Coturnix japonica: one gene and its partners. The protein of the gene in region 7 interacts with the protein of the main gene of each other region in a pairwise test. Links are inferred from orthologs where the notes say so. Each region holds a gene or a part of one and is shown on either strand. Other genes may lie near its edges. The genes, in order: STK4, STK3, AKT1, LATS2, SUV39H2, MAP2K3 and RASSF1.

The links.
Region 1: the proteins of RASSF1 (region 7) and STK4 interact in binary tests that used the Homo sapiens proteins (3 or more experiments, as listed by UniProt). The link is inferred for Coturnix japonica from reciprocal best matches to the Homo sapiens genes RASSF1 and STK4.
Region 2: the proteins of RASSF1 (region 7) and STK3 interact in binary tests that used the Homo sapiens proteins (3 or more experiments, as listed by UniProt). The link is inferred for Coturnix japonica from reciprocal best matches to the Homo sapiens genes RASSF1 and STK3.
Region 3: the proteins of RASSF1 (region 7) and AKT1 interact in a protein complementation assay, tested with the Homo sapiens proteins (2 studies listed by BioGRID and IntAct, with this or other methods). The link is inferred for Coturnix japonica from reciprocal best matches to the Homo sapiens genes RASSF1 and AKT1.
Region 4: the proteins of RASSF1 (region 7) and LATS2 come close enough for resonance energy transfer, tested with the Homo sapiens proteins (2 studies listed by BioGRID). The link is inferred for Coturnix japonica from reciprocal best matches to the Homo sapiens genes RASSF1 and LATS2.
Region 5: the proteins of RASSF1 (region 7) and SUV39H2 interact in a two-hybrid assay, tested with the Homo sapiens proteins (2 studies listed by BioGRID and IntAct). The link is inferred for Coturnix japonica from reciprocal best matches to the Homo sapiens genes RASSF1 and SUV39H2.
Region 6: the proteins of RASSF1 (region 7) and MAP2K3 come close enough for resonance energy transfer, tested with the Homo sapiens proteins (2 studies listed by BioGRID). The link is inferred for Coturnix japonica from reciprocal best matches to the Homo sapiens genes RASSF1 and MAP2K3.

Annotation. Positions count from the first base shown.
Region 1 is NC_029535.1:4,579,260-4,582,759, forward strand, and holds part of STK4 (serine/threonine-protein kinase 4), read right to left. Parts: intron 2,822-3,500; coding exon 2,707-2,821; intron 2,171-2,706; coding exon 2,006-2,170; intron 1,642-2,005; coding exon 1,474-1,641; intron 935-1,473; coding exon 797-934; intron 334-796; coding exon 205-333; intron 1-204. UniProt on the Homo sapiens protein: Stress-activated, pro-apoptotic kinase which, following caspase-cleavage, enters the nucleus and induces chromatin condensation followed by internucleosomal DNA fragmentation.
Region 2 is NC_029517.1:115,667,934-115,671,433, forward strand, and holds part of STK3 (serine/threonine-protein kinase 3), read right to left. Parts: intron 118-3,500; coding exon 1-117. UniProt on the Homo sapiens protein: Stress-activated, pro-apoptotic kinase which, following caspase-cleavage, enters the nucleus and induces chromatin condensation followed by internucleosomal DNA fragmentation.
Region 3 is NC_029520.1:46,930,118-46,933,617, forward strand, and holds part of AKT1 (RAC-alpha serine/threonine-protein kinase), read right to left. Parts: intron 2,660-3,500; coding exon 2,445-2,659; intron 1-2,444. UniProt on the Homo sapiens protein: AKT1 is one of 3 closely related serine/threonine-protein kinases (AKT1, AKT2 and AKT3) called the AKT kinase, and which regulate many processes including metabolism, proliferation, cell survival, growth and angiogenesis.
Region 4 is NC_029516.1:159,847,422-159,850,921, reverse strand, and holds part of LATS2 (serine/threonine-protein kinase LATS2), read right to left. Parts: coding exon 2,213-3,500; intron 1-2,212. UniProt on the Homo sapiens protein: Negative regulator of YAP1 in the Hippo signaling pathway that plays a pivotal role in organ size control and tumor suppression by restricting proliferation and promoting apoptosis.
Region 5 is NC_029516.1:6,623,582-6,627,567, reverse strand, and holds the start of SUV39H2 (histone-lysine N-methyltransferase SUV39H2), read right to left. Parts: upstream 2,801-3,986; 5' UTR 2,695-2,800; coding exon 2,676-2,694; intron 2,347-2,675; coding exon 2,201-2,346; intron 1,629-2,200; coding exon 957-1,628; intron 1-956. UniProt on the Homo sapiens protein: Histone methyltransferase that specifically trimethylates 'Lys-9' of histone H3 using monomethylated H3 'Lys-9' as substrate.
Region 6 is NC_029529.1:4,536,324-4,538,596, forward strand, and holds part of MAP2K3 (dual specificity mitogen-activated protein kinase kinase 3), read right to left. Parts: intron 1,722-2,273; coding exon 1,582-1,721; intron 914-1,581; coding exon 868-913; intron 578-867; coding exon 494-577; 3' UTR 1-493. UniProt on the Homo sapiens protein: Dual specificity kinase. Is activated by cytokines and environmental stress in vivo. Catalyzes the concomitant phosphorylation of a threonine and a tyrosine residue in the MAP kinase p38.
Region 7 is NC_029527.1:644,760-648,849, forward strand, and holds the start of RASSF1 (ras association domain-containing protein 1), read right to left. Parts: upstream 2,801-4,090; 5' UTR 2,699-2,800; coding exon 2,452-2,698; intron 1,541-2,451; coding exon 1,419-1,540; intron 720-1,418; exon of another isoform or gene 612-719; intron 66-611; coding exon 1-65. Other genes in the region: ZMYND10 (zinc finger MYND domain-containing protein 10), read right to left, coding at 3,902-3,986. UniProt on the Homo sapiens protein: Potential tumor suppressor. Required for death receptor-dependent apoptosis. Mediates activation of STK3/MST2 and STK4/MST1 during Fas-induced apoptosis by preventing their dephosphorylation.

The DNA of each region.
Region 1 (3,500 bases), on a different chromosome or scaffold from region 7:
ATATTTGCTGACTGCCCCATTCAAACATAAAGGTTGAGCAGAGCTCAAACATCAAGTTAAGCAGCCCTAAGTACAAAACTCAAGAATCATATAAAACCCATGGGCAGCTGAACAATACATTATAAAAATAAGGAACAAAGCAGCTTAGCATTATGCGAGGTCCAAGAGGCTGAGCTCTGTATACTGTAGCTATTAAATACTCACTGAATTTTCTTCATCTTCTTGATCCAGTTCACGCTGCTGTGCCTCTTGGCGTTTCAGTTTTATATCCATCGCTTCGTTAATCAAATCGCGCAGGATTGATGCTCCTTTGGCACTCTTAACAAATGGATGCTGTGTGGTATGTTAAAGTTAGTAAGCACTGCACTTGAACTAACACAGAGCAGTAGAACATCATTACCATGGGGTTACTGGGGCTCATTCCCCACACACAAGCACTACTTATTCCTCACCAGCTCAATTGTCGACAACCAACTACAAATGCATGCACCATTCTGAGCAGTTACTTAGAATCACAGAATAGCTTGGGTTGGAGGGGACCTTAAAGTTCATCTAGTTCCTTTCTGGTGGGTTAAGAGCCAGTTACTTGGCATTGCTGGTGAGAATCTGAAGGTTAAAAAAAAACAACACCAACAAACAAAAGCATCCACAAAGACAGGATTCAGACTAGATCTTAAGGAAGAACTGAAAGGTTGAAGTTGGGTACAGGGTTTTTACATCAGCCAAATAGGCGCAGCACTGCCTACACTACAGCAAGCCTTCTCTAACATTCCCATTCTCCCAAGACAAGGCAGACCTGCAGGAGCTGTGTTGCAGTAGCACGCTGCTCGGGGCTCTTGACCAGACACTGCTTCACAAAGTCCGTGAAAGCATCTGACCAGAGCTCTGGTTTCCGAAACGTTGGGGGTGGGTTGGTAGGAATCATGAAGATTGCCTAAAAAGAGAAGAATATTCCAGGTTTCCAAACAGAGTTTAAAACCTCCTAACAAAAATGAATCAAAACATCCACAGGCACTAAAGAATGATACATGGTTCAAGTTTGCTGCTTCTGAAGAGTTTGTACCAATATTTTATACATTAAGCTGCTCAGAGGATGGAACAACAAATCAGGCTGTTCTCACTAGAAGCCTACACGTCTGTCTGAGCCATTATCTGCACCAAGAGGTGTGAATCTGCCATTTTAAAGTCATAAAAATATGTGGTTGCTTGCAAGATAAAGAATCATTTTGTATGATCCACAGCATAAAGTATCTGTATTCACACTCAACAGCAGAAGTTTCAGCTGTGCCTTGATAGATGAGGATCATGATTTTCCTCCTCCATCTTTCATTTAATCAACAGCACAACAAACTGACAGAAAGCAAATCATATCCTCTAAATTATAAACAAGATGGCATCTTGATGCATCACTCACCCAGCTGTAATAGCAAATCACTTTTGCATCGCAATGCATTTTAAAGTCACAGCCCTCACCCTCATAGGATGAATATCTGCATATGGTGGTTTGCCTTCAGCCATTTCTATTGCAGTGATTCCCAGCGACCAGATGTCTGCAACACAATTATATCCAATCTCTTGAATCACTTCTGGAGCCATCCAAAATGGAGTTCCTATAACTGTGTTCCTCTTTGCCATGGTATCCTGAAAAGAAGAGCAGGATAAAGATCCAGAGCACACATTTACAATCCTAATTATCTTCCACCTGCACACACATATATTACCAGATTAAGCAAGATAAAGATATGGAAAGCTGCAGAGAGAAACTGAAATATGCTCGCAGATGTCAGACATGAACTGAAGCAAACAGCATACATTATTACAAACCATTACTTAGGCCTAACAGCTCCCACAGAGGAAGCTTTGCTGCTGCTTTAGTGTCTCATTATGTTGATGTAAAGTGCTAAAAACACTTCTGAATGTCTCAAGGTCTCCACAAGCACATGATGCTTATGTGTACGTTAGAAAGAAGAACTGAAGTGCACATAATCATCTTGGTTTTACTTACTGTGAGTTGTCCTGCCACTCCAAAATCTGCAAGCTTAGCATGTCCCTCTGTATTTAGCAATATATTTCCAGCTTTGATATCTCTATGTATTTTCCTCATAAAATGCAAGTATTCCAGTCCTTTCAGTGTTGATTGTACTATCGTAGCAATTTCCTCCTCTGTAAGCTAAAAAGAAGTGTTACTCTCAACCTCTCGGTTTCCGAGATGGCACACAGTGGTGTCGCAGTTTATACCTCCCTGAGATATAGTTATTTAATTGCTTTCATTAAAGGTTGCCATACTAATAGGGAAGTACACATACTCCAAGGTAGCAGCCTTACATATGAGAATTAGCTTTCGATCAGCATCCTTACACATCCGCACCACAGCCTTTCACACCTACTAATTCTTACCCTGCAAAGCCAGAGCAAGGCAAAGCAGTCTGTCAATTCTGAATCCATCTGGGTTTTCAGGAAAGCCAACCAAACACCGTATCAAAACCATGCAAACTGATTGCATTAACCAAACAACCCAAACTTGATCAACATAACGAGCCTCCATATCTTCAGGGGAACAAAGGACCCACATTGCAGTGGTGGCCCATGATTGTTTTAGATGTTAAACACCTATGAGAATTATACCCAAAGCACTGCACATGCCACTTAGTTTCCTGAGCTACCACTCCTGCTCCCCATTCCCAGCATTCAGAGGAGACTACGTACAGTTTTATTTCGTAACCGAATAATATCAGACACGGATCCAGCGCCGCAGTATTCCATGACGATCCACAGGTCTGTGTTCTTAAAGTAGCTGCCGTAATATTTCACCACATGAGGGCTATGAAACGTGAAAAAAGAAGAACAAAGGGTCAAATACTGGAGAGCAGCACAACTGAATAAGCAAAGGCAAAGAATACTGCAGCCTCCCTAAGCAGGTTCTAAAAACTCAGGCATGGAAGTGCCACTGAAGCCCTGACCAAGTGTTTCACACCAGCCTGAGTCTACAGTGAGTGACCACAGCCCTCCAGGCCTGTCCTAGCAGTGGTGTCCTTGTGACCTGTCACAAAGGCAGCTCAGGGGGCTAAAACGTCTGAAAGTAAATCCTGCAGAAACGGAAAAGGAGCAATTAGCTTTCAGTCTGGTTTTGCTCCCTGAACTGTGGCAAACAAGTAGGGAGGGCATCAATGGAATGAGAAACAGACCATGGCAGATCCTGGTAAAGCTGCTGCAGTGTCTGAAACCAAAGAGAAAGATTAAATAAGGTCAAAAGCTGGAAAACTGCTACTGTGGTCATTATGAGGAACCTTCACCTTCTTACTCTATTAATCAGTTCAGAAATGCAACTTATGTTAAGTACAACCTACATCTTTCCCATATAGTCAACTAATGGGCTGCCCAAGGGGTGAACAACGAAGTATGGCACAGTCAGAATGACCACTTATCCTTTGGAAAAGGTAAAGCAAAAAAGCTAACAGAGAGAACTGTATGGTTTAGCAAGGACAATGCTAAAGAACAGA
Region 2 (3,500 bases), on a different chromosome or scaffold from region 7:
AGCTCTTTGTTCAGGATTCTTCACTAAGCACTTCTTCACGAAATCTGTGAATTCATCAGACCAGAGCTCCGGCTTCCGAAAGGTTGGAGGGGGATTAGTAGGAATCATAAAAATAGCCTAGATAAAAAGCAAGAACAACAGAAAATTGAAACAAAGCACATCATCACAGTACCGAATTCAAGGAAATAAAGTGCTTTATCCACCTTTCTTATCAAGTTAAGAATCTGGAAGACAAATTTCAAGCAGGGTAGGATTTCCACTCAGACAGAGATTCAGGATGTAAATCCATCTGCTACTAATGTAGCTACTTCCCATTCTATTTTCTCTATTTAAACTGCATCTCATTGAGCACATCACCCTCTACGTTATCTATTACTGTTCATCAGTCTCAGGATATGATTTCTTTCAGAAATTCTCAGTAATGGTATTGCTTCTTCAAACAGATCCTGAAAAGTTTCTGTGAAAAGCACAGTTCACCTTCTCATCTCTTAGCTCCATTTAGTTTTATAGGAGAGCTGCTCAGAAGGGCTGGTGGGTCTATTACTTGCTGCTGCACGCTCTATTTGGCTGTAGTTTTTACCATTAGCACAGTATTAGTACCAGAAGCTTCAGACTGTGCTTGAAAAACAGAGAAAAAGGGAGAAAAAACTTCCAAAGATTTTATCCACAACTTCTTGAGAAGCTCGACTGCCCTCCAAAGCCTGTTTAACTTGTACAAAATCCTCATTCTAAATTTTTTTCATATGCTGAAGAGAAGCAGAAACCAGGCAGAACACTATAAGAACTCTGTAGTGCATTTTTAATGAAAAAATATTTCAGTATCAGATACTTCATTTTAAATCTAATATTTACAGAGCTTACTTTACTATCTAATGCTGTCTAATTCAAAAACTAGAGGATCAGAATATATCTTTTTTTTTTTTTTTTTAAATAAACTTTGGTGTATTTTACAGCAGCTTTATATTTTCAGTGGACAGCCTTGCCAAACTAACATGTGATCTCAGATTGGAGTAGTAGCTCTCTATTACCTTGTAATTGTCTTTAATTACTTACTTGCGATATAAAATTGTCAGTACAGGCGAAGTGCTTCTGGTAAAGGTGTGGCTAACAAATTCAGCTGCTCCTGTCCTTGAAAGTAATGACCTATCTGAACTCTGAACTGATGATTTTAATCTTATCTTTAGCTACTCTTAACAGCTAGCTCTGCAGTAGCTATTGAAAGCACACAGCCATAACAGAAAACCAGTAAGTTCTGTTTACATGGTATCAAAACATATACCTCCTATTTGACAATGAGCATTGACTTATGTCCCAGCACATAACCAAAGCTTAGCTCCGGAATTCTACCGAGCTCCAAAGTTCTGGAGAAATTATTTCCTTCTGCAAACTCTTTTGATCAACTACACAGCAGTGAAGAATCATAGCAAAGAACGGACATTTTTATAATTTACAAAGGACAATGAGAAGAAAGATGGAAACCATGAATCATTCTTTTACAGCAGACAATAAAAATTACAAAAGAAGATATTCTACAGCTACAGTCGAGATCCTAAAAACAAAGTCATGCTTTGTAAATTTGTTGGAAGTGACAACTTCAGAAATACATACATAAATACAAACACTACAGGTTTTTTTAGATCTTGGTATGTGACATGAGCTGTCATTATCTGAAAAGAATATATATATGGATTACACTACCATTTTTTTTAATGCAAGGCCATATTTAGTAACTAATTCCTTCTTCCAAATGTGCAGTCCAACTTGTGAATTATGTCACACACATTCTAGTGTGAACCTTTCTTTCCCATATGGAACAGGCTGTCCAGAGATGCTGTGGAGTCTCCTTCTCTGGAGATATCCAAAACCCACCTGGACACTTTCCTGTGCAACTTCCTGTAGAGAAACTGCTGTTGGACTGGACGATCTCCAGAAACCCCTTCCAGCCCCTACAATTCTGTGATCTCTCATCACTCCCTTCCGTTACTTAGCCTGAAATGCTGGAGGTTATATTCAAATCCATCTTGCCCCTTCACTACCTAATTTTGGCTTGCACTTTCCTATGCAAAATGTTAAGCTCCCTTTCACCTTCAAAGGAAGCCTATGATTTAACTTCCAGCTTCTTTTGTTTCCTTCCAAGAAACTTGCAAATCAACCACTGGAGAATTATAAACTTATTTCCAGATCACCAGGAATAAAACCAAAATTCTTATCTAACGGGAATTTATTCATCATTTTTTCTTCCATTTATTACCGAATACATCTTTTCTATCTCAACAGAACTCAGTCATTTTAAAATAAAACTAAGGCATTTCAATTACTGTTTTTCATGGCTGCCAAGATAGGACTTACTTACATTCTTCTTTCACCTTATGCTGTGTTTCCAACACCTATTAATGCCAATGGTTTTTGTTTGGTTTTATTTATTTTTGTTTAGAAAAAAAAACAACACACACACTACAAAGACAGTATTTGCAAACACTTAATGTATGCTACCACCCACCTAACTGCATGGGCTAAGCTGGCAGTGCCAACCAAAGGAAACATTCAGGGAAATGGTTCCACAGTCAAGGCTCTGGCCTACAAAGCAAGACACAGCGTTAATTCTTCTCTCTCACACCTTCAACATCACTTTCCACACTTCCCTGTGTATCTGAGACAGACTGGTACTCTCAGATCCAGCTGAGATGTTAGACTGAATGACTCCTAATCTTCAGTTTTAACTATTTAATCACTCTTTTATTCATAAATAAATGTCTAAGCTGGGAGATGTCAAAACTGAGGCCTGAGTGACCATGACAACTTAATCAGTGTTTATCTTTGCCTGCCTAACAGACAAACCATGCCCAATTTGTCCTAAACTGGCCTTTCCACATCTGAGCCTTGAGACCGACTCTGCTTTGCCTCACCTTTCACACAGTGCTCCGAGACAACTTCCACATCCCTGGGTGAAATCAGAAGCCACAGCAAACATGCTATCTACACAACTAAAGAATGGGGAGTGGCACTGAAGGTGTTATAGTAGAAATATAAACCACAAATTGCATCACCACGGGAAGCCTTCAGTAGCCATTTCTGAAGTGGACACTACACATACAGTCCAATAAATTCTACCATAACTGTTAACCAGTTTACTCTGAAAGGATATATCAGAACAATAACCAGCTGCTGTAGTCAAGCTCAATATTGAACAGAGGACCAAGCCTCAAACAAGAGCAAAATAGCAAGTCAACACAGAATTTGCTTTTTATGATGCTTAAAGGGACCAAAATTTTGGGTCCTATAATGAAGTTCTGGCTGCAATCATTTATTTCATGAAGATTCTCCCATCGACAATTTTTATTGGTGTGAAAATGTAATTAGATGAATTAGGAAATACCAAAAGAAAAATGATATCCTCATATACTGCATTTGGAATTTCCTAATCAGAAAGTCCTTGAGGCTCATTCCTCCTGTGAGTCAGGGTAATACCACAGCCCAAGAACACATTAAGTAATCAACAG
Region 3 (3,500 bases), on a different chromosome or scaffold from region 7:
TTTCTCTTACAAAATGGATTTTATATGACCAAATTTAGAAAACAGCTATTATTAAAAGCAGAATGCAATTTACTGTTCTTCATATTTTCCCCATATGCCTGGGAGTTGCTATTACCAAAAGCAGAACGCTAACACTGCTCCTCTATTTCCAGCTCACGTACAACAGGTAATTTGTAAGATTTAATTCACCAACTCCGGTCACAATTCATTACCAACTTACAGTGAGTTTCATTATTTCAACTTTTTTGGGGGTTGAGGTGAGAGGGATTTTACTGGAAAGGAGAATACGTCCCTGTTTCATTTTCCTTTTGCTCATCTCTGTCCCACTCTCAAGCCCACTAGCAGTAACTAAATGCAAGTGATGATGCTTTCTGCCACAGACCCTACAATGAAGCCAACTTTGCCAACCACTGGGCTTTGCTAAGGAGGGGATTTCTGTTGAATTACACGAATTCCCCCAAACATCATTGATAGGCTAATGTGGAATGGACTGCTGGGCATGACGTAATTTCAACTGACTGTACTTTGAGGCTATCTGGGTGTTTTCCTTTAACGTGGCTGAATGACCTCATAATGAGTCAATCACCACATCTGTCAGGCGCCCACCCCAACACAGACCACACCGTGTGAACAGCTGACAGTAAAACCCATAACAAGGGCAGGGCAGGACTCAGGACTGCCACCTCCCAGTGCCCCCAGCTCACCTCTCCCTGCTGCCTGAAACGCCACCCAGTGCACTGCATTGCAGAATCCCAACTGCAATTCAAAAGCTGAATGTACAGTGATTGGGGAGAAACCAGTATTTAAGAATGGTCCACGATCCAAAAAGCTTGGGGAGGCACGGTGTAATTAGCAAGGTGCAGGCTTCTCTACTCTATAGTTATTTCTATCAGCAGCAGGAAAATCATCTGTCCAACACATCAGAGCATCAGTGGTTCCAAGCCTGCTGAAGATACATGTGAAGAAGTGGCTATTTGTATAAAATGAGCATGCTGTGGAGTAATTATTGGCATTGGAGAAACCTTGCAATCAGAAACAAGTGGGCGTTCTTTGTTTGTAAACAAACTGTATTTTGGTTCATCAGAGATGCTCCTTTAAGAACAAATTACAGCAGATGCTACTTGTGTTTCCAGAGATTGAAAGGCACCACCTGAATAAGCTACAAGAGGGTCACAACTGTATTTAACCCAGGGCTTTTCTAGACAGGAATCCCGTTGGCAGGGGCTGCAGCCACATTTGCTGTGTGGAGTACCCAGGGGGTTGCTAATCCATCACACAATTGAAAGCAGTGATGGAAGCAGTCCACTCCTGTGACAAAAATCCCTGCTCCAAGAAATCCAATACTGGCAAAAACCATTTTCACGTTAAGTGTGTGTGTACGCACCAACTAAACAAACATCACAAAAACTGGGATACTTGTTACCTACACCTCATGTGAAAGGTTTCCTAGCTTGAGTTCTTTTATGGTGGGAAGGTTCAGAGTCACTATCTTCGTTTGTTTAAAAAGTGTCTGGGCTGACAAGATAGCAGGTTTTCAGACTGATGTTTACCCTTAGTGCAAAGGTCAACATCCTTTTTGGATCCTGTTCTATTTTTTGTTACATTTTGTTTGTTAGCCATTAAGGATTTGAGGTTTTCTTTTTTTTGCTGACGTTGTTTTTGTTTGGTATTAAGACAGAGGTTACTTTTTCAAAACAAAAGGAGGAAATGGGAAAAGTAGATTAAAGCACAGTATGAATTCCACCATAAACATGGTACTAACACCACCACCTGCTGTCCAAAGCAGGATGACAGATCACTGGCACTGACTGAACAGAAAATTCAGAAAGCTTACTGTAAGCAGCCCAAACTTGGATAGATGGTAAAAGAATTACTGCAGAGCAGCTGATAACTCACAGCAACGATCAGATTAATTATGACCAAAAGCAAGGTTAACTTGCTTTGTCCCAGGCCATAGTTGGCAGCCACCATATTCTGAAGGTCAAGCTTCTGATCAACAAAACTGCTTCACGTTGCCACCTGCAAGCCAGCTTGAGTCAAAAGTTAAGCTGAAACCAAATAGGTCTGTGCGCTACATCCCTCAGCTCTACTTGGTGGATGATAATTTTGTGCCAGTTAAAAACAAATCCAGAATTTCATCCAAAATGCCTTCCTCATTTTGAAATACAGAAATACTGGCATGAGTGCATTCAGTATCCCCTTGGGCAGAATCCTCTTCAATTGCTTCTCAATGGTGGAGATATGGATCATTTAAATGGCAGCACAGGAAGAGCCACTTAAAGTCACTTGCCTAAAAAAACAGCTCCCTTTCACAGACATACCTCTATGTAGCAAAGTTATTAACTTTTCTTGTGAAGGCCTTAAAATACATTTTTCCTTGACTTATTATGCTACTTCTGAGTGCACAAGTGTTTAAAAACACAAATATTAAGAAACAGTCTCACCTCTGCTTAGGATCTTTCTTCAGCAAGCCTGACAAGAGAGATTTTGCTTCAGGTGACAAAGTGCGTGGAAATCTAATCTCTTCCATAAGGATGAGTTCAAAGAGCTTTTCATGGTCCTGATTGTAGAAAGGGAGCCGGCCACACATCATTTCATACATTACAACTCCTAATCCCCACCAGTCCACTGCACGACCATAGTCATTATCTTCCAGCACCTGTACAGGGGTAAGGAGAAGGCTTTAGAAGGCATTCCTACATTGGGAATGAACTCAAGAGGCAAAATTAACACCAGCAAATTTCATGTTCTCGCATTACACAGCTGAATCTATTAGCACAGAGTGTTTTCAGAAGATCCTCCTTGAAAACAAAGGTCAAAGGAGACAAAGGAGAGCACTGTAGATGAGCAAGATGGGGAAGAGAAGAAAGTGTGCACGTTATGTCAACTTTCCTCTTCTCTTCCTTCTTCCACCCTCCCCCCTCTCATTACATCCATGGTAAGTAAGCAGAACCTTTGAAAGCCCAAAGGCTGAGGACTGTTCTCACATTACAGAGCCAGCTGCTGAATTTTCACTTATTCATCACAAACTGTTCCAAGTGGGATCTCATTAAAACATATATATACATATATATATATATATGTGTGTGTGTGTGTGTGTGTGTGTGTGTGTTTTTGTTTTTTTTTTTAAATGAGATCCCATTTAGAACAGTATGTATATACACACACACACACATCATCAAGGAGCCACTTTGGGAAGAGGTGAAAAGCCCATCGGTCTGTTACTTCACAGGCAACAAACTGAACATCACAATCATCCCTGTATTAACCTGCTCCTACTCAAAGGGCTACTCTGCACATCACAAAAGACCACCCACACACACACACCAAATGACTAACCCACATTCAGCCCTATGAGCCAGAACTCCCCTCCTAACACCTGACCCACTGCAAGGCTGTAAAATGGCAGCCAATATGAAATACTTCCCTTCCTCCCTCCTGTGGGACTTGCACACTGGCTGCAATACTGAAGGCCCTCACATCAGGGGTAAGCTTCTTCC
Region 4 (3,500 bases), on a different chromosome or scaffold from region 7:
TTTTTCCTCCTCTGTTGTACAGAACCTCCACTCTCACACTTGGCAGATCCCTAACTTCCCTCCCAAAATATATGTATACAACCCTCAGCTCTGGCCTCCTCCCATACACTGAAGCCAAGATCCAGATCCTATTTCTCTTTTAAATGTATGTTTTTTCCCTTTGAACCTGAACAGTAACAAAGCTGGCTTGTCCAGACACCTTCTGTCCCCATAGAGTCTTACGGTAATTAAAAGTAACATTTCACATGTCTGAAGGGGAACATCTCCTGGAAAGGGGGAGAATTAACCAGCTGGACTTCCCCCATGCTTCAAGACAGAGCCTGCACAATTCTGCCTTCAGTGCCTGTCTGAGAACACGAGCAGCCTTCACCAGCAGAAGCCCCTGCGCTGATTTCCAGGATCCTCAGAATTCCCTGTCTGCAGCAGACCCCCCTCCTTTTGAATAACATTTATCTTGAACTGAAATAAGTGAAAATAAGCATTTTGAGAGGAAGAGTGAGTGATGGGAAGAGGCAATGGGGGAAATGGTGGATGGAGATGAAGCTGACTGAGAAGCAGGCTAAAGACCCCTTAAGTATTCACCCATAAGGCTGCTGCTTTGACTGAAGTTTTCATTTCACACCTGCAATCGAGGCCATTAAGGATGATAGGTGGGCAGCCAGAATAAGCAGCAAGATCCCCACAGCATAAAAATGAAATCCATGTGAATTAAGGATGAAAAAACTTGCAGAACAGGTAGGGTACCTCAATCCATACTAAAGGAAGCGTTTATTGCTTTAACGCATAACAATTACTGTGTTGTATTCTTGGTTAATTCTAGAATAATGCGATATTCAGATGGCCAAAATCTCTTGAGTTTGTGGTGTGTTATTCCAGCCAGAAATGAGGTTGCTAGGGGAAGGAGCTGTTTTTTGTTTATAGTTATCTTTGAGTTATGAAGTGAGCAAAAGCTGAAGGGCCAAAACAGAACTGATGCTATTAGTTTCTTTTCTTACTTCTTTAGAGACTGCTCCCCAACTTTCTCAGTCTTAGGAAAATATTCACTAAATCCAAGCAGTGCAACACAACCTATAGTTGCACTGAGGACAAACTATGAACTACCACCACTATATTGACCTTTCAAGAGATTTTTAGAAGCATCAAATGTAACCTTGGCAAGCAAACCACCAGATTTTCTTGAGCAGAATCACAGAATCACAGGGGTTGGAAAGGACCCCAGGAGATCACTGAGGCCAACCCCCCTGCTAAAGCAGGCTCCCTACAACAGATGCACAGATATGCACCAGACAGGTCTTGAATATTTCCATAGAGGGAGAGCAATGTGAGAATCAAATTAATTGACCCTAACCAGTTCTAAGGAAGGTCAGGTAAGTTATTACCCATCATGTATTAATGATAGCTTTCATTAAAGCTTATCCTTAAACACAAAAGTAGACTAGTCATATTCTAGCTAATGGCACCTGAAGGGAGAAAAAATACAAAATTTCCATGTTTAAAAATTACAAACAGAACTGCCAGAGCAATCATCAGAACTTGGCAGCTTGCCTTCAGACAGCCCTATCAGTGAGTCAGCTCAGTTTGAGCGCTACTACGAGACGTGAATGAAGCTCTCAAAGTGCACCTCACTGAGACCCGCGCCTAGAACAAATCCCAGCAAGGATCCCAAGATCATTTCAGCTGGCCAAGAGATGATTACTTGCATGGTATTATTACTAACATATGTTCAAGAGACAACTTTCAGTCAGGTATTACATATTCAAGGGAAAATATAGCATAGTAAATCTACTGCCAAGTTAAACTGTGGCTTTGGTGAATAAGCAGCTGCTATCATGTAATAGGCAGGAAGAACTGGAGCAAAGAGAAAGCCTTTCTCAGATTTTTTCAAGGGCTGGAAAGTATTGTCAGTATTACCATGGTCTCAGACCTGGCTGCTGAGTCCTTTCCTATGCAAACGTAATACTTTCCTACTGTGGATGCCCCTGCTTTATTTTACTTTCTTGTATGAGGACATACTACATCCTGTCTCAGCTTTTTCAAACAGTCTCCCAGATCTGCACCCAGGCCTCTAAGTGAAAACAGTCTGGTAAAGGGAGGCGTTGAACAGCTATTATCACTTCCCAGAGAACTCGCCTTTATACCTTTTTTTGAGTGACTTAAGATAGTAATAATTAATTTGACCCTATTTATTATATTAAAAAAAAATAATAATTACTTTAGCCATTTCTTGCTCCAATTGTAATCTTCTGTTGATTTTCTGCTGGTAGGTTTTTATGACATTTTCTACATGTTGCTCCATATAGAACTTGAAAGCAAATGGTGAGTAGCTCTTTATTCGGGATTCTCGCTTTTCCTCATCCTTGCCATTTTTTCTCACAGGCACCGGAGATGTCTGGATCTGCTTTTTATCCTTGCCTGGTTTTTCAGCTTTAGTGTTTTTGCTGTTTTTGTCATTTCTCTCACTGTTCTCCTCAGCCTTATTGCACGTTGAACTGGGGACTACACGCAGGGTCTGCTCCACACCCATGCATAAGCAATTGATATCAAACTGCTCAGAGCTGCCGGGAATTAACAAGTGCTTGGGATACGGTGGTGGTGGACACCGCAGCTCCTGGTTACCATAATCCACATCTAGTTGATAGGCGTTGGCTGCTCCAACAGCTGGCACGTGCTGTTCAATGATCTCTAGGCCATCCACGGCCGGTGCCTGGGCAGGTAACCAACCAGGATGGGAAGGTCCCACTGCAGTCTGAGGCTCAGGTCTCATCACTCGCATGCTCTTCACTGGCTGGAGAATATGAGCAGATGTGACCGCTGTGATTGTATTTGGAGATGCAATGGAAGGATCAGGTTTTCCTGGAGGAACCTGTCTCATAGACACGGTCACTTGCGGTTGTTGCTGATGGTTGTTAAAGGAGTTTGTTCTGCTTGGCACTGAGGCATCAGGTCTGAAGGACACGTGTTGCCGTGGAGATGATTCTATTCCTGGGTTTTGTAAAGAATCTCGCCGTGAAGGCGTTGCTGCCTGCCACTGCTGAACTTGAGGGTTATTCATGTCATAGAGGTCCATGTTTAGGCTATTTCTAGATGGAGTTAATAGATTTTGTGGTGGGCTGTCTGAAAAATCGTTACCAAATGCTGGACCTCTAGATATCACGTGCATTTGATGGGAGGGAGGACTTGTCTGTTTGTGATGAGAATGTGACATATACAGGCTTGCTGGTGCCTGCTGAAATGCATGACTAGCATTATTCTGAACAACTGCCCCTTTATTTGGGAGATTGGCGTAGCCTCCCTCCTGCTGCATCTTGTTTTGGAAGGATGGGCTCCGCTGAACACCATACCCCATGGGTTCCCCCTGCACCATCATGTGCTGCCTACTGTAATGTTGGCTGCTGGAGCCATGGGAGGCCTGCAGCTGCAAGGCTGGGCTGTTGTGATTAGACACAGGATAATTAATCACAGAAGATTCAATACTTGCAGGGTATGTTTTCTGCTGATGG
Region 5 (3,986 bases), on a different chromosome or scaffold from region 7:
TCCAGAGGATCCCCAAAGGAACAGAAGAACTACAGCAATGTTCAATAGAAGCCACAGCTTTAAATACTCTGTCTGCAGCCCACTGCATTCAATGTATTCCATGGTGCACAACCAGCAAAGGAATTACCATTTGGCAGCAGCACTGATACAAAAAGTAACAGAGTTCGAAGTAACAGAATTTTTCTGCCAGGCCACATCTTTGCTTTAAGCAACAAAGTTCTGCAATCACACGAGCCTCCTGCATGTTTGTAGGAATCAATTCCAAGGGTACAAACCCGATGAGTTAGAAGATCTGGGGCAGGAAGCATGGAGATAAGACAGTCAAGACCATAAACATTTGTAGCAGGGACAGAATGAGTTCTTTTTGAGTCATCGTATTAGCAAAGCAGATACGCAACAGGATCAGAGAGGCTGCCAAGAGCAGCTGATGCAAAGGGCCGTGAAGCAGAACAGAGGCTGAAGCAGGTAACACAAAGTAAGATCAGATCTCAAGAGGAAATCAGACTCTGTATTTTACAGCATTCAAGTTCTGTTCTGAAATAGCTCGAGACAGGCTACGCGGACAGAACAGAAACAGGACTGACTGGGTGCAGAGTTTGGTAATAGTTGTGCCTGGGGAACAGAAAGAACTACAATAAAGATATGGAAAAAAACCCCAAGGAATACAACTGCCAAAAAAGAAAAGGAGGATCCATTTTTAGAGATGCTAGAATTTTGAAATAATTATCAAAAATACTTATTTACTGACACAAAAGATGTGTTCTCTTCATATCCAGCCTCTGGAATGGAGGATGTTTTGGATAATATAATCTTACTGCCAGCTCAAACGTCTATTCAGTATATTCTTCTACTCAAAAGTAGAGCTGAAGTCAGGAAGTGATGGAACTGAGAGAAAGCTCATTATGTTTTTCACCTGCATTCTCCTTCAAAATAATCCATATGAGATAAACACATACCTCTCCAACATACTCCATCACAAAACTGTTGGTATTAATTTTCTGGAGGGTTTTCACTCCCCAACCTCGGCCGTTGTTAGTTCTGAAGATGCAAAGAGAATACTGGGTACCTTTCTGTACTATTCTATTAGGGCAGTCAGGGCCACACCTGCAAAATGAATTGCATTCATAGATGGGCAAGCCAGGCTGGATTTTCAGCTTCCTTCGTTTATTGTAAGCCAAAATAAAACCAGCTTCCTTTGGACAGCACTTCTCAGCAGGGCAGTCTGAGCATTCACAGCCAGTTGTTATTCCATTTATTACATTTATTCCCGGAGCAGGTTTATACTCATTAATGTAATAGAAGTCTATAGGAGGACCTTCAAGATCCACAGTGTTTTCTACCAGAATCATTCCTCTATGATTCTTTTTCCTGTTGAGTTCTTCTTTCCATCTCTGCAGAGCTATTCTTTGTTTAGCCTTCTTTACAATGTAATCTGCAACGGCAGGTTTCAAAGCTTTAACACTGTTTCTCACTTTCAGGGCTCTGCCTCCTTTCATCCGAGATAAATATTCATCCTTGTCACTAAGAAAGTTTTCAAGAAGTTTTGGGCATTTCAGATTTTTCTGAGGTTCCCAAGTATTTGAAGACTCTGGCCATCCTTTCCATTTCACAAGATAGTATTCTTTGCCCTTGAAATACAGAAACAGATAACAGGATTTAGCCACCATTCGATCTACCAAAAGACAACGTGACACAGTGCTAGAGTTAACAGAGTGTGGTACAGAAAGGATGCCACGTAACAATTAGAACTGGGAGAAAAGGAAAAATCAACTCAATCAGGTCAAATCCTGATGCTGAATTTCAATGGCGAGACCAAGCCATAGGAATCCAGCTGCAGCACACAGCCCTAACTTTTCAGTCAACAACACTGCACATATATGCAGCTGCAAACAGAGAAGCATCAGAATACAAGTTACAACCTACAAGCGTCAAGTGTTTTGCTTTACTTCTGGATATCGGGTGAAACATTTTATAACCCCAAACTGCCATAATTTCAGGGAAAACAAGGCACACTTCAGCACACCGAACGTGCTTAACTACGCCACTTTCTGTTTGCAAAGTTCAGAAGGTATTTTCTTCAGTGTCATCAACAGCCTCGTACTGGCAGCCTGCTGCTTTTACATCATAAGCACAGCTACCTCGGTCTGCCTTCCAAATTTCAGCTGAAAGAGCAATCAGGTTCGGTCTGTGTTTCTCTTACCTCTTCTACCTTGTAGTCACACAAATATTCCACCTCATAAGTCTTTAGACTCTTGTTGGTGATTCCAATGGATTTACATATCAGATTTTCCTTCCTACATAATTCTTGGAGGGTCTCACGTGAAGCCAGACATGGCACATACCAAGCTACAATAAGAAAATCGGGTAAAGAATCCTATTTAATGTCTCGGCTCGATGGAAACCATCATTGGGGTTCGCTTCACCCCAAATTCCCCCACGTTCCCCCCCCGCCCCCCATCCCAATCCCGCCTCAGGGAGCGCGCGAGGCCCCGGGCCGTCCCCCCTCAGCTCAGCGCCACACGCGGGCGGCCGGAACGATCCCGCGGAGCTCCGCGTTGTCTCCCACCGCCTCCCTTCGCGCTCCCACTCGGCCCGCCCTGCACAAGGAGAAGGGAGAGGAGATCGGCTCCGTCCCCATCCCGTTTCTCGGCCCGAATCGCCGCCGCCGCCCTCACCTCCTCGCCAGCCCTCCATCTTGGAGGGGCCGCGCAGGGCCGCAGGCGGCGGCAGAGGGAGGGGAGGGGGAAGGGCGGCGCTATGGGAACGGCCGCCTACCGGCGCCCGCGCGCCTGATCCTCACAGGGCGGCGGGGCGGTTCCACGTCGGTTCTGCTTCCAGGCTTTTTTCCTCGACCCGCCGTGAGCCAGCAGTGTGCCCTTGTAGCCAACAAAGCCAATGGAATACTGGGGTGTATTAAAAAGAGCGTGTCCAGCAGGTCAAAGGAGGTGATCCTCCCCCTCTGCCTTATCTGGAATATTGTGTCCAGTTCTGGGCTCCCCAGTACAAAAATGACAGGGATCTCTTGGAAAGAGTCCAGCAGAGGGTCACTAAGATTGTGAAGGGCCTGGAGCATCTCCCCTATGAAGAAAGGCTAAGTGAACTGGGTCTGTTTAGCCTTGAGAAAAGAAGGCTGAGAGGGGACTTGATCCAGGTTTATAAATACCTGAGGTGTGGGGGCCATAGCGGTGAGTCTGGTCTCTTTTCAGTATTGCGTGGGGATAGGACTAGGGGTAATGGGATGAAACTAAAGCATAGGAAGTTCCGCACGAATGTGCGGAAGAACTTCTTTACAGTGAGGGTGACGGAGCGCTGGAACAGGCTGCCCAGGGAGGTGGTGGAGTCTCCTTCTCTGGAGATATTCAAGACCCACCTGCACACCGACCTGTGTGACATGGTGTAGGGAGCCTGCTTTGGCAGGGGGGTTGGACTCGATGATCTCTAGAGATCCCTTCCAACCCCTACAATTCTGTGATACCTTCACGTTTTCAGATTGTTTTCTGGTTGTAAGCCAAACAACGAAAAACCCGTGCTGCCACTCTTTCTTTACAGCACTCCTTCAGCAGCAACACAGGGGCAGGGGGACAAAAGGCCTCCAGGAGAACACACTGCCCTGTTACAGTTCACAGTCACAGGGAACGATTTCAGACGCTTTAAACACATAAAAGCATTCCCTCATCACGACACGCTTCTCAGAAGAGCTGCTCGCAGCTCAAAGTAGCTTTAAACCCAATCCAAAACCCCATAACCTCCCCCAAGTTGTACCATTAGGCACAATATAAACCCTTAGGGGGTTACATATAAGGTTACATACATATACATACTTAGGGGGTACAATATAAGCCCTTAGGGAACATTGGGCTACGAGCCTGTGCTCATCAGCCTGGTAGAAAGAGAAGAAAGGTGCAACAGTACTGGGATAAGGACAGCGCTTCCCTGACAGAACCAGGCTTTGGGTTTTCCCAAGACTCCTTTTAAAAGGCAGTAAC
Region 6 (2,273 bases), on a different chromosome or scaffold from region 7:
ATCACACAGTGAAGGGGGTGCCAGGCCTGGGGCTGTGTGGAAGGGTCACCCAGATGCCATCAAGATGGCTTTGTGCAGGGACAGCAGAGTGCCCACAGAGCCCTGCAGCCTCCTGCAGTGCTGCTCAGGAACGTGAGGCAGGGAGCCAAGCAAAATGCTGGGGAAGGGGCTGGGGGCAGAAGCACAGCAGCATTTTCTCTTTGCCAACCTCAGGCAGCAAAGGGAAAGAAAGGCAGAAGTTCCCCCACACACGGTGCCGAGGTTGGACACTGTGGGCACCATCCCCCTCCCTGTGCCCCCAGCATTTGAAAGGGTGAAGGTGTTGGCTTCCAAGGCTCTTCCTCGAAGAATTCAGGCAAAGAGAAAAGAGACTGCGATGGGGGCTGTGCCCAGAGCTGTCCGGGGGCTGAGAAACACAAGTTGTGCAAACCACCACGAATTCAAGTCCACATCTGCTCCTCCGTGGGGACTGCATGGAACAGTGGGGCTCCAGTTAAGAGTCCTCCCCGAGGATCTCTGTCACAAAGGAGGCCATGTCAGTCTCTTTGGTGTCGTGTAGGGTGAAGAAGGGGTGCTCCTGTCAACAAGAAGCAAGGCATCAGTCATGGCCCAGCAGGGAGCAGTTCAAAAGCAGCCCCAGGAGTGTCACAGCACTGGCCAAGTGGGCACCAGCATCACCTACAGGCTGACCTTCCCCTTAACACCCACAAAACTCAATACACTGCTGTACCTTAGACACACTGTGCCCATCCCACCGTGTGCCTGGAAATCACCCCTGTGTCCTGCTGTACCATTTGGCCAGGCCCTTTTACCCCAACACATTTCACATACCAGATGAAGGCCAGCAGACACAGCCCCCAAACTTACCATAAGTTCTAAATAGTTCATTCGCTCAGCGGGGTTCTTCCTTAAACTGAAGGGAAAAAAAAAAAAGAAAGAAAAAAAGAGGCTGTAGGATCTTTCATTATACTTTTTCCCCCCCCCCCACATGTGGTCTATCTGAAGAGACCTCCCCCTTCCCCAACCACACCTCACTTTGGATGGGCAGCACCCACTCCCACTCCTCTCTGAGCTGAACCACGTGGCCCTGTAGCACACAGGCAGGGAACCACAAGGGCAGATTTGGGGTTATGCCAAACCCAGAAACACGCAGCCCTGCTGGGAAGGAGAGGAGGCAGCTTCCCATCACACCACCCATCCCAGGGCTTGGGGGCACCTCCAAGCAGGCCAGGAGCAGGGGGCACCCAAGGGGAGCAGCTCCTGCATGTGGAACCCACAAAACCACAAACCAGGTTCACCCAGAGGCACCTACATGCTGCCAGAGGGCTGTTCCACCACCACACTGCCAGAAACCACCAACACTTGAGCAGCGCCAATGGTAAAACGGGAAGAGAAACCTCAGTGCCTTCCAAGCAGCCTGAATGAGTCACACTGAGAGCAAAACCCCTTTGGGCAACAAAACCCAATCCTGCTGCAGCAGATACACCAGCTCGTTACAGCAAGGAGGGGAGAACCAGGCTCCAAAGCCAACCCCAGCCCTGCACTTTGCTCACACACCAGCCCAGTCTCTGCCACACTCACCACTGTGCCGTGAAGTCCACAAACTCCTTGGAGAAGCGCTCGGCAGGCAGCTGGGGTGAGGGCTCCTCCACCACCTGCTTCAGCTGCTGGAACGGGGTGCCCCAGGACTCGTAGGGGAAGCGCAGGATGGCCAACTCGATCTGGGGACAGGGACACTGTGAGACACTGGGGCTGCCCCACATCAGAGGCTGCACAAGTGTAGATTCAAGTTGAAAAGCCTCCCTCCTAACAAACCATTTTCAATTCGGGTCATACTGCCTTCTCCCCTACCCCCATTTTTGTAATACAAAGACCTTAAGGCAAAAAAAAACCAAAAACTTCCTTTTGAAGCCTGCTCAGCAAATTAATGCATTTACAGGAAGCAGACAAATCTATGTAAAACAGGGTTATTTAAAAAGATGTCAAAGCAGTGTTGATGCTACTTCTGCTCTGGCTTCTGGAGTGCTCATCTCACCATGACCTGCCCTCTGGGCTGCAGGCTGTATGAGCTAGGCACAAAGAGATCCATGAGCCCAAGAGGAAGTGAGCTTTAGAATACAACTTAAGATGATCTTTGCCAAACTGCTGCAGCTATTCCTGCTCCACCATTCATTCCAGCAGGAAAAAGCCCATAGCAGCTCTTGGGCCAAGAGATGGGATGTAAGAAATGAATAAAGCTAGGATCAGTCCTGCAGCTCAACAGCCCTAAACAG
Region 7 (4,090 bases):
TCCTTGATGCGCTGCTCCACCTGCGCCGGGTCCAGCTCCGCCGTCTCCCAGCTGCTGGGCTCATCCTGCGGGGTGGATGCCGTGCTGAGCACAGGGTCGCATCGCACCACGGCCTCGTGCCTGTCCCCAACGCCGGGATGGCCACCCCATGGCCGTGAAGGTGGGGTGACGGATGGCGATGCCAACCCACGTTCCTCCCAGCCGGGACAGCCCGGGGTGTCCCCTCCCAGCGCTCCAGATCACAGCGGTGTCCCCGAGGCAGCCGCCAGCCCGGCACCGGGGTAGGCTGGGTGCCCCATGGGGATGCCCGAGGCTTCGGGGCAGCCCGCCCGTGTCTGTTAATGACTATTTACATAGGTCCGCACAGCCGCACGTGTCCTCACGGTGCTGTGGGGCCGGGAGCGGCCGGGGCTGCCGGACCTGCGTGGGGATGGGGGCAGCTCGCTCCCAGCAAAGCACGCTTTCCCCCCCCGCTCCCCCCAGTAACAAGCCGCGCTCGCTCCCACGCGTGTCCCCGTGCAAAGTGCCCCCGAACTCCTCCCACCCAAAAAACGCCCCGTGCCCCCCGCATGACGTCAGCCCCACGACGTCACGGCCGGCCCGGGACCGACCTGGCGGCGACGCGGGCGGCGGCCGAAGGAGGTGCGGGCGGTGTAGAAGAGCTCGGGCTCGGAGTCGGAGTCCTCCTGGCTGCAGTAGCCGCTGCTGGCCGCGCTGCCCCCCGAGCCCCCCGCGCCGCCCCAGCGCAGCGCCAGCCCCGCCGCCCCGCAGCCGCCGGACCCCGCCCCGCCGCCGCCGCCCTCTACCCCGGCCACGGCTGCGGCAGCCCCGGCCCGGGCACAGGGGCACGCCCGGCCCCGCGCCAGCCCGCCCGCTCCGGCCCGGCTCCGCACGGCCCGCTTCGCCCGGTTCGGCTCGGCTCGGTTCAGCGCCGCTCCTCGGCTCGGGTCCCGGCTCGATTCAGTCCCGCTTCCCGGTCCCGGTTTCAGTCTCGGCTCCGGTCCCGGTTTCGGTCCCGTTTCGGCCCGGTTCCTCGCTCAGTCCCACCCGGCTCCGTCTCTCCCGCTCTCCCGCTGCCCGGCCCGGCTCAGCCCGGCTCCGCCCCACCGCGGCCGTTGGCCTGACGCGGGCCGGGGGCGGTGCGGCCCCGTTTCCGGCGGTGATTTCACCCGGGCCACGCACCCTGCGGTCCCAGGGCTGCTGCGGGCACGACACGGCAGAGCTTGGCACGGCACGGCATGGCACAGCACCACATGGCACAGCACCGCATGGCACGGCATGGCGCAGCGTGCCGTAGCCTGGCATAGCACGGCCTCTCGTGGCACGGCTCGGCGCCCCTTGGCTTGGCACGGCCCAGCCTGGGCTGTCCCCGCTCCCTCCACGTCCGCCCCGCTCCCCCCATCCCCGCGGTCCCGTACCACATTCGTGTCCTTCTCCAGCTCCTGCTCGCTGCCATCGTCCTCGTCCCCGGTGCCTGGGGGGCCGCTGCAGTCCAGCCGCACCAGGGCCCGGCAGCGGTAGTGGCAGGTGAAGCTGCAGTCTGGGGCAGAGGACACAATGGGCACAACGGCCCCAGCAGACCCCACGCACCGGCCGTGCCACCTGCCCACATGCCCACGCTGTACCAGGGCACCCAGCGTGGCACCCGGCGCTGCTGGGCCGTACCGAGGTGCCCACGTCCCCTGCCTGGTCACACAGTGCGGGCACCCAGCAATGGGATGCCTGGTACCTGAGCAGGTGCTTGGTACCGGGATACCCGCAACAAGGGGGGTGGTACCGGGATGCTCAGTACTGGGTTGGTTGGTACTGGAATGCTCGGTACCGGGTTCTAAGGACCAGGATGCTCAGTACTTAGGATGCCCATGATCTACTTGGATGTTCAATACTGGGACTGCAGTGTCCATTTTGGGGTGCCCAGTGCCAGGTGGGAGTGCTCAGTACTGTGGAGCTCAGTGCCTGGATGCCTGGTACCCAGCGGGGGTGCCCTGGGCAGAGATGCTCAGCACTGGGCTGCTCAGTGCTTGTTTGGTACCGGGCGCCCACAGCCTGGCTGCTACCAGGATGGCCGGGGAGATGTCTGGTGGCAGGAGGCTCAGCCCGGGGACAGCTGGTACCTGAGAGGATGCTCCATATAGTTTGCCCAGGCTTTGTAGTATTAACCTGGTACAGGGATGCCCCATGCTCGGGGCAGTGGGGTCTGATACCAGGATACGTGATGCCTGGTGCCAGGGGAGGGATGCCCTGTACTCTGTGCTGGGATGCTCGGTGCCCGGGAAGATGCCCGGTACTGGGATGCCCAGTGCCCAGGGGAATGCTCGGTACCGGGATACCAGTCCCAGGGCAGCCACTGCCTGGGGGCTGCACGGTACCGGGATGCTCGGTACCGGGACACCCGGCGCTCATGGGGGATGCGCAGCGCCCGGGGGATGCTCGGCGGGGTGCGATACTCACGGCGGCACTGGAGGCTCTTCCTGCCGCCTCCCCAGACGAAATCCCCGCAGAGGTCGCACCAGGTGTGGAGCCCGCGGCGCCGGGGCTCGAAGCGATGCCCGGTGCTCGGTGCCGCCGGTCTGTGTTCGGGCCGCGCTCCGGGGCCGTGCCGACGGGCCGGGCTGATGCGCAGCGCGTTGGTTCGCTCCAGGCGGCCCCGGCCCGGCCGCGGCTCCGGCTGCAGCTCCCGCAGCTCGATCAGCTCCATGGCCCGGAGGGGGCCGGGAAAGGGGGCGGCCGCCCCGCGGGGGAAACTGAGGCAGAGCCCCGGCGAGGGCCGATGGAGCGGCGGCTCCGCTGGCTGCGTCCGGCGGGGCGGGAGGGAGGCGGGGACGGGGGAGGGTGTGTGGGGCGCTGGCCGGCCCCGTTCCCCGCAGCCCGGGGCGGCCCCGCTCCTCGCCTCAGTTTCTCCGCCGGGGGCTGCCCTGGAACGGCCGCGCTCAGCCCCGAGCTCAGGGCGGGGGCAGAGGGATCCCCCCCCTCCCACCTCCGCCCCACGGAAACGAGCACCGCGGGACCGGACGGCGGCGAACGGCCCCATCCTCAGAGCCGGCCCCACCACGAAATGCCAAGGAGGCAGCAGAGCCGAGCTCCAGCCCTCAAGCACTGCGGATGGGGGAGTCCTCCTGCCCCGAGCCCAAAGCTCCAGTGCCCCTGTGACCCCACCGGCATCTCCTCCCGGGTGCCCTGGGACGACACGGCAGCCGAGGGATCGACTCCTCAGTGCTAAGTCCCTTCAGCTGAAAGCAGGGACAAAAGCAACATTAAAATCACACCCAGGCCATTCGTTTCCCCCTATAGAAGTGCTCACAGCCCCGAGCTGCTGCAGCTCAATTTGGACATTGCTCACAGACATTAACGTTTGGGTGGTGTAGCATGAGGCCGGGCTTTGGAGCTGGTGATCCCAGCAGGTCCCTTCCAGCACAGGATATTCTATGGTTTCTCTCTGCATTCAGCAGCTGACAGACCCGAGCAGCACAGCTTGCTCAGCTCCACACTAACCACATCCTCTGATACCGCCCTGCTGCTCTCACAGTGGAGGTGATGCTGAGCCCTTCTCCTGATGCCTGGAGGAGCTCGATGTGAGTGAGCCCATGCCTCGGTGACAGCAGGCCGGGCCGTTTTGATCTCCATTTCCAAACTTTGTTCGCTCATTTTCAAGTTCTCCAGGCTTCCTGTTGCCTCATAGGGTAAAAAGCAACACACACAAACCTCTCGCTGGGTGCGAGGGAGGGGAGGAAGTGGTTTATTTCTTCAAAGAGGAGACAGGAGGGGGAGCTGAGCCCCCGCGGGGTGCAGCAGGAGCGGGGGTGTTGTGTGGGGGTGTTGTGTGGGGGGGACGGGGAGGCTGAGCCCCACGAGGCTGCGAACCTGCGGGCATCTCTCCAAGGACAATCAGCCCCTGCCCTGCTCACTGTGTGCCCGCAGTGCCCGGTGCCTGTGCCAGCAGGTCGCAGGCAGTGCGATGCTTCTGCCAGTGCTGGACCTGGCACGCCCTGCGGGGGGAGCCGCACGTCAGGGCTGTGTCTGCTCTGCGGAGCCCAGGGGGACGCGCCCACCCCCGGGGCGCTCCTCAAGCTGCCGTAAGGCTGAGAGCGGG